Linked DNA regions of Styela clava. The protein of the gene in region 1 binds, or shares a complex with, the protein of each later gene. Links are inferred from orthologs where the notes say so. Each region holds a gene or a part of one and is shown on either strand. Other genes may lie near its edges.

Region 1 (7,181 bases):
ATTCCATATTCTGAGCTACTATTCAAAGTGTATTTGAAATAGCAAATTATTTCATTTACTAAGCTCTCAGAAAGTAAACAACCAGCTTACCAGCTATATTCTAATAATTCTTAGTGCTTTGCAATATAATGAATGCACAAATGGTCAGATGGAGCCATATTGAACTCCCAATATATATATCTTAGAAGAGACAAACCTGCACAGGTAAATAAGTAACTTCAATGCCTTCACTTTCCATAGATCGACATGAATCTAACACACATTTATGTTCAATTTGGGTTGTTATGATGTGACGTTTTTTACTCCTGAATACAAAAATAATTGAAGAAATGGCGTTACAAAAGAAATGTATTCAATTGAGTTAGCATATAAGGGAAGGCTTTTTTGTTATAATAATAGACTACACAGTTGAATACAGTACTCAATTATAATTTGCTGATAAAGTTAAGCATTTTCAACTTGTGGAATCGCTATACAACGAATACAAATTATTAAAATATCTATTTAAAGCTGGCTGAAATTTCACATTAAATAAGTCTACTTACTTATAAAATCGCCCAACTCCTTTTACAGCAATATTATTGCATTCAGTTGCTCCACTTGTAAATATAATTTCACGTGGATCAGCCTATGTAAATATATAACATAGTGAAATTATAACCAATTTTGGTTTATTCAATTCAATTGATCTTCTAAAAACACTTGTTAACACTTGAGATGGTATCTTTGAAGATTTTCCAGCATTCAAGAACAAATGGAATTATATTGACAAACCTTGCCCTTGCGCGTCATCAGACATGTCAATATTTTAAATCTGCGTTGGAATTACCCTGGCTAATTTGCACATCTACCTTTTCCCAAAATTTATTTTAGCATAACTATGCAGGTACTGCCTGGTGTAATATTAAAACAGGAATTTAAGAATGTTAAAACAATGTTACATTTATCAAACTTGCAACTTGTTTTCGAGCGTCTTCAACAGCATCTTCCGCCTGCCATCCATATGCATGTGTACGACTATGTGGATTTCCATAGTAACTTACAAAATATGGAAGCATTGAATCCAGCACTCTTGGATCCATTGGTGCGGTGGCCTTGTAAAAAGTTAAATATATAATATGCAGGTAAGTTCAGAAGAAATAATTATACATTCAAAATCCTATCCCATAAAAAAAATCCTGATAATAGGAACGACGCGGGATATTCTCCTTGCAGAATTTTATGTTTTCTGTATGTGCTTAGCATGGATTATATTAGGATAATATTGTTTTCCCAGTCGATAGCTAATCAAATTGGAAAAACAATTGGAAAATAAAATTTACAAAATTCATGCAAATTCAAAACTTATCTTTGAGATATAGCAATCTTACCATCAAACATTACACAACTGAGCACAACATTTTTAGTGTCAAGAATTCAAATATATTTTTTCAAATAATCAATTCTGTTCAACCTCATTTAAAAAGGTAATATTTCAACAAATCAAAGTTAAAGTCACAATTCCTACACAATGAATGGCCTGTTCTAGCCATGAGAAAAGTAGCAACTATTTGCATGCTAACATACAACATTTACATATTCACTGGATAAATTACCTTTGACTAAAATTGACTTCCCTTTCCTCTGTAGGCTAAACATGAAAAGCTAAAGTAAATATAATATTTCTGGTATGGCAATCATTATAGTTGTGTTACCTGAACATCCAAATAAACAGGACGAAAGCCAGGTTGCCATTCTCCATGGCCTTTTTCAATTGTAGCTTGAGCAATTGATTTCCTTTCTTGAGTGATATGAGAGGAAGATGATGAATATCGAGTAAAAAGTGGGTACTTGTTTGTCAAACTGACGGATTTGCGCAACAATGAGTGCCTGTGAACAAATTAACGAAGTTAGGGAAAAGAGTGGTCAGTAAAAACTTAGGCAGGGGTGATTTAGCCCTACATTATTCAGTTCTTTGCCTCTCACCCCAACATATCCTCTTTTTCATTGCATTTAATTTTTTAAACCCAAATTTGAACACATAATCGTATATGATGGGATTTGATACAGGCTGTTTTTGTCTGAGTTTGGCATGTTTTAAAAACTCACTTTGAAATCTGTTTTTAATGACGACAATATAAGTGAAAATTCCTAACAAACTCGAAAAAAAAAGATTGAAGCTAGAGTCATGATGGCCAAGGGGAAGTTTCACAATATTTTTCAAATCACTTGTAACATCTATAGCAGACATAGGCAAAATCCGGCCCGGTGGGTAATTCAATCTGACCCGCCTGATGCTGCCACAACCAAACTGAAATTTTGATGTTTTAGTTACAAATAGCTCAAGGAATTTGTTGAGATTGCGGTTAAATTTAGTTTCGGCACGAGGTTTATTGTTTTCCACTGTTGCTTTTGTAACACTGCAAACATTGTTCATAAAATGTAGTCTGACTCTTTACTTCATACTTACATGGCCCGACAGTCAAGGTGGGCAAAATTTTTGGCCCCTGATTCAAGAACCATGCCCACCCATGATCTATAGACTAGATTTTGCAATTATTACCGGCAAATAAAGTTGATAGGGTAGATAAATATGATCTCAAATTACTGTTGTTGAAAAGTCAGCTTTTAACTAAACAATGCTTTGTTCCCATTACTAAACTTATGTTCCACTAGATCGAATTGAGTAACTGCTTGGGAATATCAATATGATTTAATACAAAGTAGAATACAAATAAATAACCACTGCAAAAACGATAAAGCAATGCTCAAATATCAGAATACCAGCAAAATTCCAGACAAATGTTACGGTATGCATAATAATAGCTATACCTATATACAGGATAGCCTATATGACCATTTCAGTACTACTGAACTATAATTAATACTTCTTTGTAACTCTATCAGTCTATACTTACATGATACTGGACTTTTTTACACACAATTCCAATATATTAAAGTTTGAAATTCCAAAAAAATTGCTTAGTATTCGATTTGGTCTACCTGAACATTATTCACTATTCAGTAGTTAGTATTAGAAGCTTAAAAACTGCAAAAGTAAACCCTTAATAATTAAAGAATAATCACAAAACTATGATGTGCTATATTTACATCTGCTACGTATCACAACACAAAGACAGAAAGCTCAGAAGATGCTCTTTTTGACCACTGTTCTCCCTAAATTAAATTAGTTGAGTTGATTCAACTAAAGAATCACTTAGGATAGGATTTACATATGTATCCCCGGGGAGAAGAAAGTCGATAAGACGGCTTAATCATATGGCAAACTAAGACCTCTCATCCGGTTAAGGTACCAGTCAATGTCGGGAATCTGATATGGGATCAAATGGTCCACACCGGTACCGTATCTTATGCCATCATATTTTTTTCATTGCAGCATTGTTTGCATTAGGTACCGTACCGTACCGGTACCTAAAGACTGAAAGACAGATATCTGGATATCGTAGCAGGATAGCCCCATGTGCTGAATTTTTTTCTCGTCAACATGGTCTATTTACATTTGCGAATTTGACTTTCAATTTCTTTCACCCAATTCCCTGCTTTAAAGGACCATTCAAGATTTATAAAGTCTTAGATTAAATTATGTTGCTCAGACACTGATACAAGATACAGGCAGCTCTGCGGCAGCTGACTCTGAGCATGTTAGGCTGTTTGACTGAGAATACTACGCGCTGTGTGTTTCGGTATTTACTGTTGGATTTGTATTGCGTAATATCAATATGATTAAAGCCAATCTACCGGGAAGAAGTTTATGGATAAAATTTTTTTTTTAGATTGAATTTAAAGTTAAATGAACCTTTCCCCGATCATCGACTTCCTTGTTTACTTCGTGACATTGGCCAATCAGCAAGAAGCAAAAAGTGACGTAACAATGCTCCCCTTTCGCATCCGCTCAGACACTTTTCTCACTCAGACAGATTTTCAAGCGTGGTCGTATAAACATTACCTCGTTTTCGCGTTTTTGAAATCTATTCGTTAGTCTTCAGTTGTGTTTCGGAAACTTAAATATGAATCAGATAATTCAATGATCACTCTGTCTTCCTATGAGTGTTAATTTAATTGCAGTAATAAAAAATTAGTGTAGAAATAGCTGTGATAGACTAGGCTAAAAAAATTTACCGATACTTTTAAAAAACAGATTGTTGTATGCGATGAATCATAGGGATGGTTTAAAACACATACCCCATTTTACAGGTGCCAACTCGCAAAAGCACTCTTAGAATAACCGCGAAAATTTTGCAATAGTAAAGTATAGGAAGAATTTTTTGGGGGTTAAAGGTCGGGGAAAGGTCCATGGTGGTCGATCTGTTACGGGTGTTCTGCGAGGTTTCGATCCTTTACCAAGGTCAGACGAAACGCTACAGAAATAAATTTGTGTTAGTGTGCAGCAAGACTCTTGAATCACTTAGGATAGTTATTACTTATCGATCTTTAGATCGGGTCTTTGTGACATAAAACACCATACCACTGTATATTCGTTCCTTATTCTAAGATCTTTGTTCCTAAATCTTGAAAAAAGAATACAAATTCATTTAAATAACTTTTCATGGATATGAATGGGCCCCCATATGTAGTCACCCCTTCTTCACTCGATTCCGACCTCGAGTCATGAGGGCCGTTTGGACAGGGTGCTACGATGAAACTATTTCAAATAGGGAATAATTGAAACTCGATTTTTACTCAAATAATGGCGTACAAGTATCTAAATTCAACAACAATCGGTAAAAATTATCAGTCAACGGCAAAGTCGGTGCATTTTTGAGGGTTTCCCATTGGCTCAATTTGACGTAGATTCGCCACTGCTCAAAAGTACTTTTTTGTTTAGTTAATTTCAATTTCTTGTTTAAATTAATTTTACTGAATTTTTTTGTTAAGGAAAAAAGGGGTGAAATGAAGTAAAACAGTGTTATAATGTGAAGAAACAAAAATACACGTAAAAAGTGCGTTCTGAAAATGAAATAAAATTTTTTTTTCTTTAGTTGTATGCTAGTTTTACTCAATTTGTAGCAATTAACCCAAATATGCCAATATTGAAGCAAAGTAGAGTGGAAATAATTTGGGAAGCGTGCATACACCCGCACACATAGTGTGTGTAAGAATAAATTGTATATTTCATGAACATCTGACCCTGTTAAACTGCTTTCGATCTTCCACAAATTGTTTTTATATAATGCATTGTTGTTTGGAAATTTACTAAAACACAATATTGATATCGTAGAAATCATTGATATTATTTTCTTCAGCGCTTTTTGCTAGTATTGTGATGTAGAGGGTATTTATTAAGTCCTGACACAATTTCAAAATTTTGTTTTGTTCTAGTATATATTGAAATGCACAGGATTTTTATCAAATTAATCTTAAAAATAAACAGAATTACATTGGAGAAGCAACAAGCCAAAAGCATACCCTTCCACAAACAGAATTAGATAGGATTGACAGTCCATTTGTTACACTTTTATTAGTAAACAATGACGGAACTCAATAATAACTGAAATGAAATAAAGAACAAGAGTTAACATTAAATCACACACTGCACAGTCTACATAAATATTCACTATCTCCCCCCAAGTCTTTTGTGCGCCGTTTCCTAGGAGTAGCAGGGTATGAAAGACTGAGTATATGCAGTAAAATGATCATATTTCTGAGGGATTTAAGTCATGACATAGTCTTTTTGCCATCTAGGAGCATTTCGAGCACGATTCGAACGTCGGGGCATCCATTCAGGTGACGTGTCAACATCTATGTCAGCGTCCGTAGGCCATGAAGGATATTCCACTCCTGCTTTTGTCGGCGGGCTGTTAGGATTTGTGACTTCAGCTTGTGTTTTGTGATCGTTGGCTTCGATCGGTTCGTCGTGTTCCCCCGATGGTGTGACGTCGTTCCCCAAAGGCTCTTTTCTCGTGTATTGTCTTTGAGCAGGTGGGAGCTTACAAAGGATGTCGTTGTCGATGACGCGTCGTGGTTGAGGTCCAATAACGGGTGTGTATTTACGCAGAAATTTTCTGTTGCGAAGTGTCACTCTTCCGGATCCGTCGACTTTTACGGCGTATTGATCAAATGGTCTAACTTCAATTATCAGTCCCGTTTTGTCCCATTTTTTCGGTTCTGGGCCGATCTGATTTTGAATCCTTACGCGATCTCCGATGACTAGTGGAGGGAGCCTTTTCGTGTGTTCCGACCATCTTTCTGCCGATCTCATATGCCGGTTACGAAGAGCTTCCTCTCTGGCTGCCAAAGTTTCACGCCAAGTGTTGTGCGGTTTATGTCTTCCGGGAAGAATAGGGATGAAGTCTTTGATTGCGCGCCCGAACACGCACATTGCTGGTGACATTTTGGTGTCCGGGTCCGGTGCGTTTCGGTATTGCAGGATGGCCCGCTGAAAGGAGTCTGTGTCCAGTTCGCCGTTAGGCCCAGTGTTGTTGCAAATAAGTCGTTTAACAGTTTTTACTCCGACTTCTGCACGGCAGTTACTGTGTGGGAATGCCACCGATGATGTACGCCCCATTCTCTCAAAAACTTCTGTGTTGCAGCGGAGGTGATCTCAGGTCCTCCGTCAGAAGCCAGTTCATCTGCAATACCAAATGTCACGAATGTTCTTCGTAGGCTGCTGATAAGTCCTGTCGCACCACCAGACGTCCTTTCGACTATTGGCCAATTGGAGTAACGATCAACGATAACTAAGTAATTGACACCTTTGTAGTGAAAAAAATCGGCACAAATGCATTGAAACGGATAAGATGGTGTATATGGAGATGTAGGCGGAGCGCATGGCTGTGATGGAGCCATGCGATTGCATTCTCGGCATTTGTTGCGTGTTGTTAAGATCGCTGCTGTAATTCCTGGCCAGAACACGGATGCTTCTGCCCTTGAGGTCATTGATGAAACTCCTTGGTGTCCGGCGTGAAGGGCACGTAGAACGTCTCCGCGTAACGTGGGGGGGATGACGATTCGATCTTTGTAAATTATCACCCCGTCCACAGTGTAGAGGTCGTTCCTGAATCTGTAATACTCTCGTAGCGGTGTTGGAAGTTCAGTTCGCTTATCTGGCATTCCCGACTCAATTATTTCGACTAATTTGTTCATGTGATCGTCGCTGGCAGTGGCCAACTTTACCTTTTCCCTTGTGACAGTTTGCAGAGCAACAATTGATGAAGCTGCTGCCTCCATGATTGAGGTCTCAA
Region 2 (6,754 bases), on another chromosome or scaffold:
GAATCCTGTTTGGTAGTGCATAAATAAGACTTTGTCACCCCCATATTCAAAGTTATGACCAGAGATAGATGGTCGCTTTTGCCCAGTGCTGCAGTTTTGTTCACTTCCAGCACCAACGCAGAATTTGTACTAAATACCTGGTCAAGTTGCGATTCTTGCATGCAATTTCCAACTAACCTCCTCCGAGTAACCTCATTTTTGATGAACCATGAATACCCCAGTTGTATCAAGTTTTCCATAAATACATTCTGAGCAACAATTTTCTGATTACCTGTTTCAAACACAGAGCTACCAACGTTCTAGTCAATATCAGGCAGATTTACATCACCCACAATAAGGATATCCTCGTCTGCTGATGCTTGAGTCAGTCTGACCAGCTCATATAGGATGTTTTCATTACCTTCATCATCTAGTGAAGGTGCACGATACAAACAAACCAATACAAATTTGACAGACCTCAGAGATACGTAAACAGTTACACTTTCAAGTGATTTGAAGAACTGTGCTCTCTCAGCATTAAGTCCCGAGTGGACGTAGATCAGAGATCCACCTCCTTTCCCACTGAGAGTTTCCCTGTCTTCACGGAATAAATTATAGCCATTGATGTGCAGCTCTGAATCAAGGAAATACTGATTTAGATGAGTTTCAGTTATGCATATTATGTCATATTTACACGCACTTATCAGAACCTTTAGTTCATTTAATTTGTTAGAAATTGAGTTTGCATTTGTGTAGTAAATTTTCATAGTCTTGATCTGTTCCAAGCTAGTTTTCATACATTCATCTCCACTAGACTTTTTTTTGCAATTTTCTCAGATTTTTTCTTCCTGTCTCTCTTTCCTTTCTTTGTTGGTATTGGACCTCACGCTCAGTTCTTGTTAGATCTTGGTTAATCCAAATGTCATCCTCTAGTTTCCTTCCCTTGCCAAACTTGTGGATATCAGATGCTTCCTCCTCATTTCTGAGAGTAACTAGTATGAGCCGTTTGTTTCTGTTTGCACTCTCTCCAGTCTCTTTCTTACCTATATGGTAGCAGCTCAAGATGATGGAGGACTGGAATCCAGAAATTTTACTCTTAATTTGTGAGTATACAATTTGCTTTATGTCCTCATTCCCAGTTTCCGCCAATCCAGAAATCACAATGTTGCGGCTTCTTTTTCTCTGTTCCATTATATTCGAGTCAATTCTTTTCATACTTTCTTGCAATGCAAGATCTGAAGTTTCTTTTACAGTCTGTTTAATAAGATTGACTTGGCTTCCCGAGTTTTGCTCCTTAAAGCAATCGGCAAAACTTTTGGTGGTTGCCGATGACCCCTCTCCTACAACAGTCTTAATGATGTCAGGAGGACTTTTTTTATTTCATCTTGCACTGCATCGCTTATATTTTTGCTCGATTTTGCAGGTGTCAACAATCCTAATGGTTCTACAACCCAACTTGGGCATCTATATTTTATTGATACAATCTTTTGTGATACCTTGTAAACCAGCACACTCCACATGCCACCACGATGTATTGCACTTCTTTGTACCACACTGTATCCACAGTGCACCATTCTTTTGCTTCTTACAAACACAAGATGATTCAGGCATACTTGAGATTAATTTAATTAATTAATTTAATCTTAATACAACCAAATACTCCAATTGGATTTCTTTCTGCGGGCAGTTGATAATAATTTTGAAATTACCGCAGAGATCGCAGCCATTGTTCTTATTAATGGCACGACTAGAGGCTTTGGTCTGTTGGGATCTGAGAAGAAAAAGATCAAGCGTCTTGGCTTGTTTTTGGCGAAACTTTCGAAAATAAGTACTGATGGCGCCCCATCAATGGTTGGGAAACAACAGTTTCATCGGTACAAAAATTGTGAAAGTTTGGTCTGCGGGTATTGTTTGTATTTTCCTTAACCTGTAGTCAGTGTAGCAAAACTAGAACATAATGCCATGTTAATAATGCCTTAAAAGCAATCATTGCCTTATTGAAATTAATTTTGATACAAGCGCCAAACAAGAGCCGATAACACGAACCATATGGCGAACCACGGCCTCCGATCCATGTCGAGTATGGGATCAGTTAGTTATTTGGTCGAAAATGGTCCAGCCCAGTAATTAGCAACCGGAATTCCTCGTTATGAACATTTGCTGTGATTGGCATATTTTATGATATAAAATTATACAAATTAAGAATCAAAGATCACACTGAACTGTAGAATAGTCTACTAAGTACTAGGTGCAAAGATGGGGTCTCGTGTAGTTTTGTACCTAACATACTTCTAGTGGGCGTAGCATAACAATTTGTTCACATGTTAATCCCAACCCCCACCTGACTACGCTATCCAAAAATTATGCCACAACGACATCACAATAACGTCATAGAGCTTCCCCATTGATATACACCTCAATGAGCCCTCAATATCCGTACGATCGCCCGGAATGGCACCTGCGCCAACAATAAGGACTTGACGAACGTCAGCGATCTCTCTCATATCGCGATCGTCGCGACGAGAAAACGAGAGAAATATCTGCTCGATTTCGGTTGCTCGTCTGCGCGTTTTGGATGATAGATGGCAGTGCCAGTGCGTAGAGCAGGGGTCGGCAACCCTTTGTCGCTCGCGGGCCAAAATTAACCCTTTCCATGCAATTTTTATTTTTTATTAAATAATCGTATTTGCTACGCCGACTTTATGCATTTGTACCCTCACAACTAATCGATCGACTAACGAAAAAGTAATGATCCTCTGCTGCCCACTGACGGCTCGTTGGAAAGCTTATTTAAAGAGCTTGCAATAGGCGATTAAAAAATTTTTTTTTTTCAAAAGGGGTGGTCTGAGTCACAAACCGGATAGAAAAAAGGCATTTTTTTTTGGGTGTTGAAACTTCAAACCGTAATAAAAAATAGAAATATTCGCTAAATCCTTTACTGTTACCGCTTCTTGGTTGGCAAACAATAGCATAATATTGCTGTAGCAAAAAACACCGAAATTTGCATAAATTTCAAAAACACTCCCTCATTCCACCGCAAATAAAATTTCCATGGTAAACGAAAGCGAGATTTACCGTCGCTTATGTTAATCTCGAAGAAGACTTCTTATCAATAAACTAAAACCCGGAAAAACTAGACCAACAGTTTGCGACCGATTGCTAAATAAAACAGTGGAGTACATCAACGTACCCGCCGCAATCTAGCGAGTTTTGTCGTGGGTACGTATACGTGCCCATCGCACGGAAAGGGTTAAGATTGCAAGTCATTGGCGGGCCGCACATATTTTTAGAAAGTTGAAAAATCGAACGGATGGTACTTTTTATAATAAAAATCAAGCAGTGATACATCTCTAGAATAGAATATAGATTTATTTCCTCATTGCATCTCATAAAATTCTATTTGAATATTTTCAGCGCCATTAAACCCCTTTGCACTTAGCATAAACTTTTCTGCGTTTTGTTGCCATTTGCTTAATTATAATTAAATTATATGCTCAATAAACGAGTAATTGTAAATTATATAATTGTTAGGTTATAATATAATTTAGTCTTAAAGAATATATTCTTCAAAACGGATGTTTTGTTACTATAATTTAGTGAAGCGTCGCGGGCCGGATCAGGCACGCAGGTTGCCGACCCCCGGAGAGTCTGAAGTGCTCTATTAGGTCGCTGTGGCGTGATTTTTGATGACGCAGAATTGACATATGCAGTATATGTTACGGTATGCTACGCCAACTAGAAGTACCTACTTTAGGTACGAAACGGGTCTACACTAGACTAGTTGTATTGTAATGTACCTTTATAGACCCGAGAGGGTAACAAGTGCTATAACATTACAGCAGTATAACCAGCGGCTTGCGCTCATTCACATGCACTCACACACTTTAAACTGTCATAGCTAGTCACAGCGAGTCTTCAGACAATTATTTTTGGCATGCAGACCTTTCGCTTAGCAGTCGAGTTTTTGTACTGTTTGTAGGTGTAGCCCTGTATTTGAACTTGTTATGTCTTTTTTTAATTTAAGCTGATGAGATATCAGTCTGGGTTCGTCTGTTGCTATTTAATTTCTATGCACAAACTTATAGCGTTGATAGGAACTGAGATAATTCTTAGTAATTTGGATTGAATGTTTCTGAAATTTTCATTTGGTGTTACTTAAAAAAATTATGAAATAATAAGTGTTCCACCACTTCATCGACTTCGTGCACTCAAATTATGGCAATTTGACTATGGCTGGTTACTAACTATATTCAATTTTGAAATCCCAATAAAAATATGAATATGGTGGGCAACTAGTAATATTTTTTTGTCAAGTTTTCTTTTTTGTTTGCTGAAAAATAACTATGTTTTAGATGAGTAAACATGTAGATGTAGGCAACCACTCATTTCTGCAACACCTTATAATCTACATTGTTTGTACATTCTCTTGATTTAATCAGTTTTATTTATTTGTTTTTTTCAATTATTATATGCCCTTTCGCTGATGATGGAGTAACTAACAGTTGAGTTACATATAGAGCAACCAGTACATACCAAGAGAAAATTTGTATAGTAGTTTAATGTTCAGATTTTCGTCACACCGGCATACTGTTTATTATGGCTAAAGGAAGAGCATTGCAACTTTATAAAGCATTGCTAAAAGAAAGCTCGAAGTTTTCGGACTATAATTTCAGGTTTGAATAAAAAACAATAGGCTTAATTTATAACATTTCCTATTTGACACTGACTGACTGAAGTTCAAGAGATATCATGCCATGCTAAAATGAAAGCGCTTTGGTTTTTGACATTATAAAATTGTATGAAATTTGACAAAACACAAGATCAACTTAGGTCATAATGAGTTTGAAAAATAGTAAGCTGTTGAATAGAGAAACGCCTCTGCCATCTGGGCAGAAACATATGATTGCTGTATTACAATGTCTGACCATGTGAACCACATTAGAATCCACTTGCCATTGCACCACACAAGTGGATTTGCAAGTTTGATTAGTACAACAATGTGCCAGCCGAAAGCCTTTGCTTAGCCCTGAGTGTATGGCTGATTCGCGTAACACACCACTTCTGTCTTAATGACAATATGCTGTTCTCTCGCAGACAACAGGCATCAGAGCTATTGTGCGATTATAAAGCAAGCAGTGCTTCTTAATCATTATTTTCTAGCATTTAAATCTTGAATTTTTTCTGAAGAGTTGAGTCAAAGCCCTTCTTATGTAAATTCCTGAAAAAAACTTATGAACTACTACATTATGAATGGCACAGAAGTGTGTCTGCTTTCATCTATCACACCAGTTTGCTATATATGTATTTTTTTATATCAAGGCATTACGCTATTACACGAACTAAGGATGCTTTCCGGGCAAACAAATCAGAGCCAGATCCTGTCAAAATCCAAGACTTTTTACACATAGCACAAAAGAATTTGGAAATGATTAAAAGACAAGTAAATCTCATTTATATTATTGCTCTGTGAGGCAGTGGTTGGCAAACTTTAGGTACTTACTACTGGGCCAAATATGCATATTGACGCTAGCATGCGGTCCACATTAATCTTTGCTGATAAACAATTGTCATTTATATTTCAAATTAAGATGCACCCACAGCATTCAAATTCCAAAATACGACCAACATGTGCCTCTTGCCCACACAAATTACTACCAGAACAAACACTGTGAAAAAGCCATTATTACATACATCTGTGCGCTGATAATAAACTTGTTGTTAAGAGGGCCACAGTTATGCCAACGCTGCTGTTTGGCAAGAGATCAATCAATCCAATGATGCCTTCAATTTGTGGTATATTGAAGAATATTAGATTTAAATACAGCTCAAGGTGCGAGATGATCATGTCTCCAGTTTAAACACCACGAAACATGTGATTACTATTTGACTCTAATTATAATGTGTTCTGTTTAACAGGTAACAATTGGTGAAATGTTCAGAGCAGAGAGACTTATTATTGATAACGATTCATAACTACAAGCAATGATATTTCCCACTCGAATATCAGAGCATTTTTACCTCCGTATAGTTTCTCCGATCCTCATACATTGTTGTGTTCACGAATATCAAGTCAATGAGCCCAGTAAATTATACATATTGCTGATTAATATTGTTGGGGGGGTGATTATAGTCTCTATCTGTGTAGCACGGGCATCCCACTTTTACTGTGATAATAATGCTACAGACTTATCAATCTTCATTTTATGTTTATTGAATTTTCAAACTTGAAATAATAAATAAAAGATGTAATATCATTCATTCCTCTGCTCTTTTCGGATCTGGAAAAAAGGCAATGCATTTGTGATTGAATACGCCATCAATTGCACTGTTTATTAGAAAATGCAATACTTACATGGATAGACATAGGATGTGCGGTAATTCTCAAAAATATACTGATTTCTTTCCTGTCTGTGCTTTGAGAATGGAAGGTATATGAACGCTAAAGGAACTGTCAAAATGATAGAACATGATTGATCAATTTGTAGTAAGCAACAAAATATATAAATGGATTCATGAGCAAATATTTTAGGAGTTAACTGATGCAATAACACAAATGCCTTCATTATGAGAAAACACTTCATAGAAAGAATCTAGCAATTGCATGCAATTAAGCGGACATACCAACGATAAAGAATCCTACAATTCCAACCACTCTCTCCCCATGTTCATATAAACTTTGGCGAATGAATTTTCCAATTTCTGGGAAAAAAATATGTTCGATAAGTTTCCGGGTAGAAATGAGTTAAGAACTAGGCACTTGTACATTTCAAAAACA

Evidence for each region. The genes of interacting proteins can lie anywhere in the genome.
Region 2: cysteine desulfurase-like (region 1) and LYR motif-containing protein 4-like share a complex: the UniProt entries of both Drosophila melanogaster proteins name them as parts of the mitochondrial core iron-sulfur cluster (ISC) assembly complex. The link is inferred for Styela clava from reciprocal best matches to the Drosophila melanogaster genes Nfs1 and bcn92.

The regions. Positions count from the first base shown.
Region 1 is NC_135251.1:29,316,023-29,323,203, reverse strand, and holds the start of cysteine desulfurase-like, read right to left. Parts: upstream 3,057-7,181; 5' UTR 2,900-3,056; coding exon 2,898-2,899; intron 1,870-2,897; coding exon 1,695-1,869; intron 1,095-1,694; coding exon 942-1,094; intron 629-941; coding exon 546-628; intron 306-545; coding exon 197-305; intron 1-196. UniProt on the Drosophila melanogaster protein: Catalyzes the removal of elemental sulfur from cysteine to produce alanine. It supplies the inorganic sulfur for iron-sulfur (Fe-S) clusters.
Region 2 is NC_135255.1:1,696,685-1,703,438, reverse strand, and holds LYR motif-containing protein 4-like, read left to right. Parts: upstream 1-4,413; 5' UTR 4,414-4,575; coding exon 4,576-4,652; intron 4,653-5,298; coding exon 5,299-5,419; intron 5,420-5,895; coding exon 5,896-5,952; 3' UTR 5,953-6,233; downstream 6,234-6,754. Other genes in the region: uncharacterized protein LOC120331577, read right to left, coding at 6,235-6,257, 6,332-6,427, 6,601-6,678. UniProt on the Drosophila melanogaster protein: Stabilizing factor of the core iron-sulfur cluster (ISC) assembly complex that regulates the stability and cysteine desulfurase activity of Nfs1 and participates in the [2Fe-2S] clusters assembly on the scaffolding protein IscU.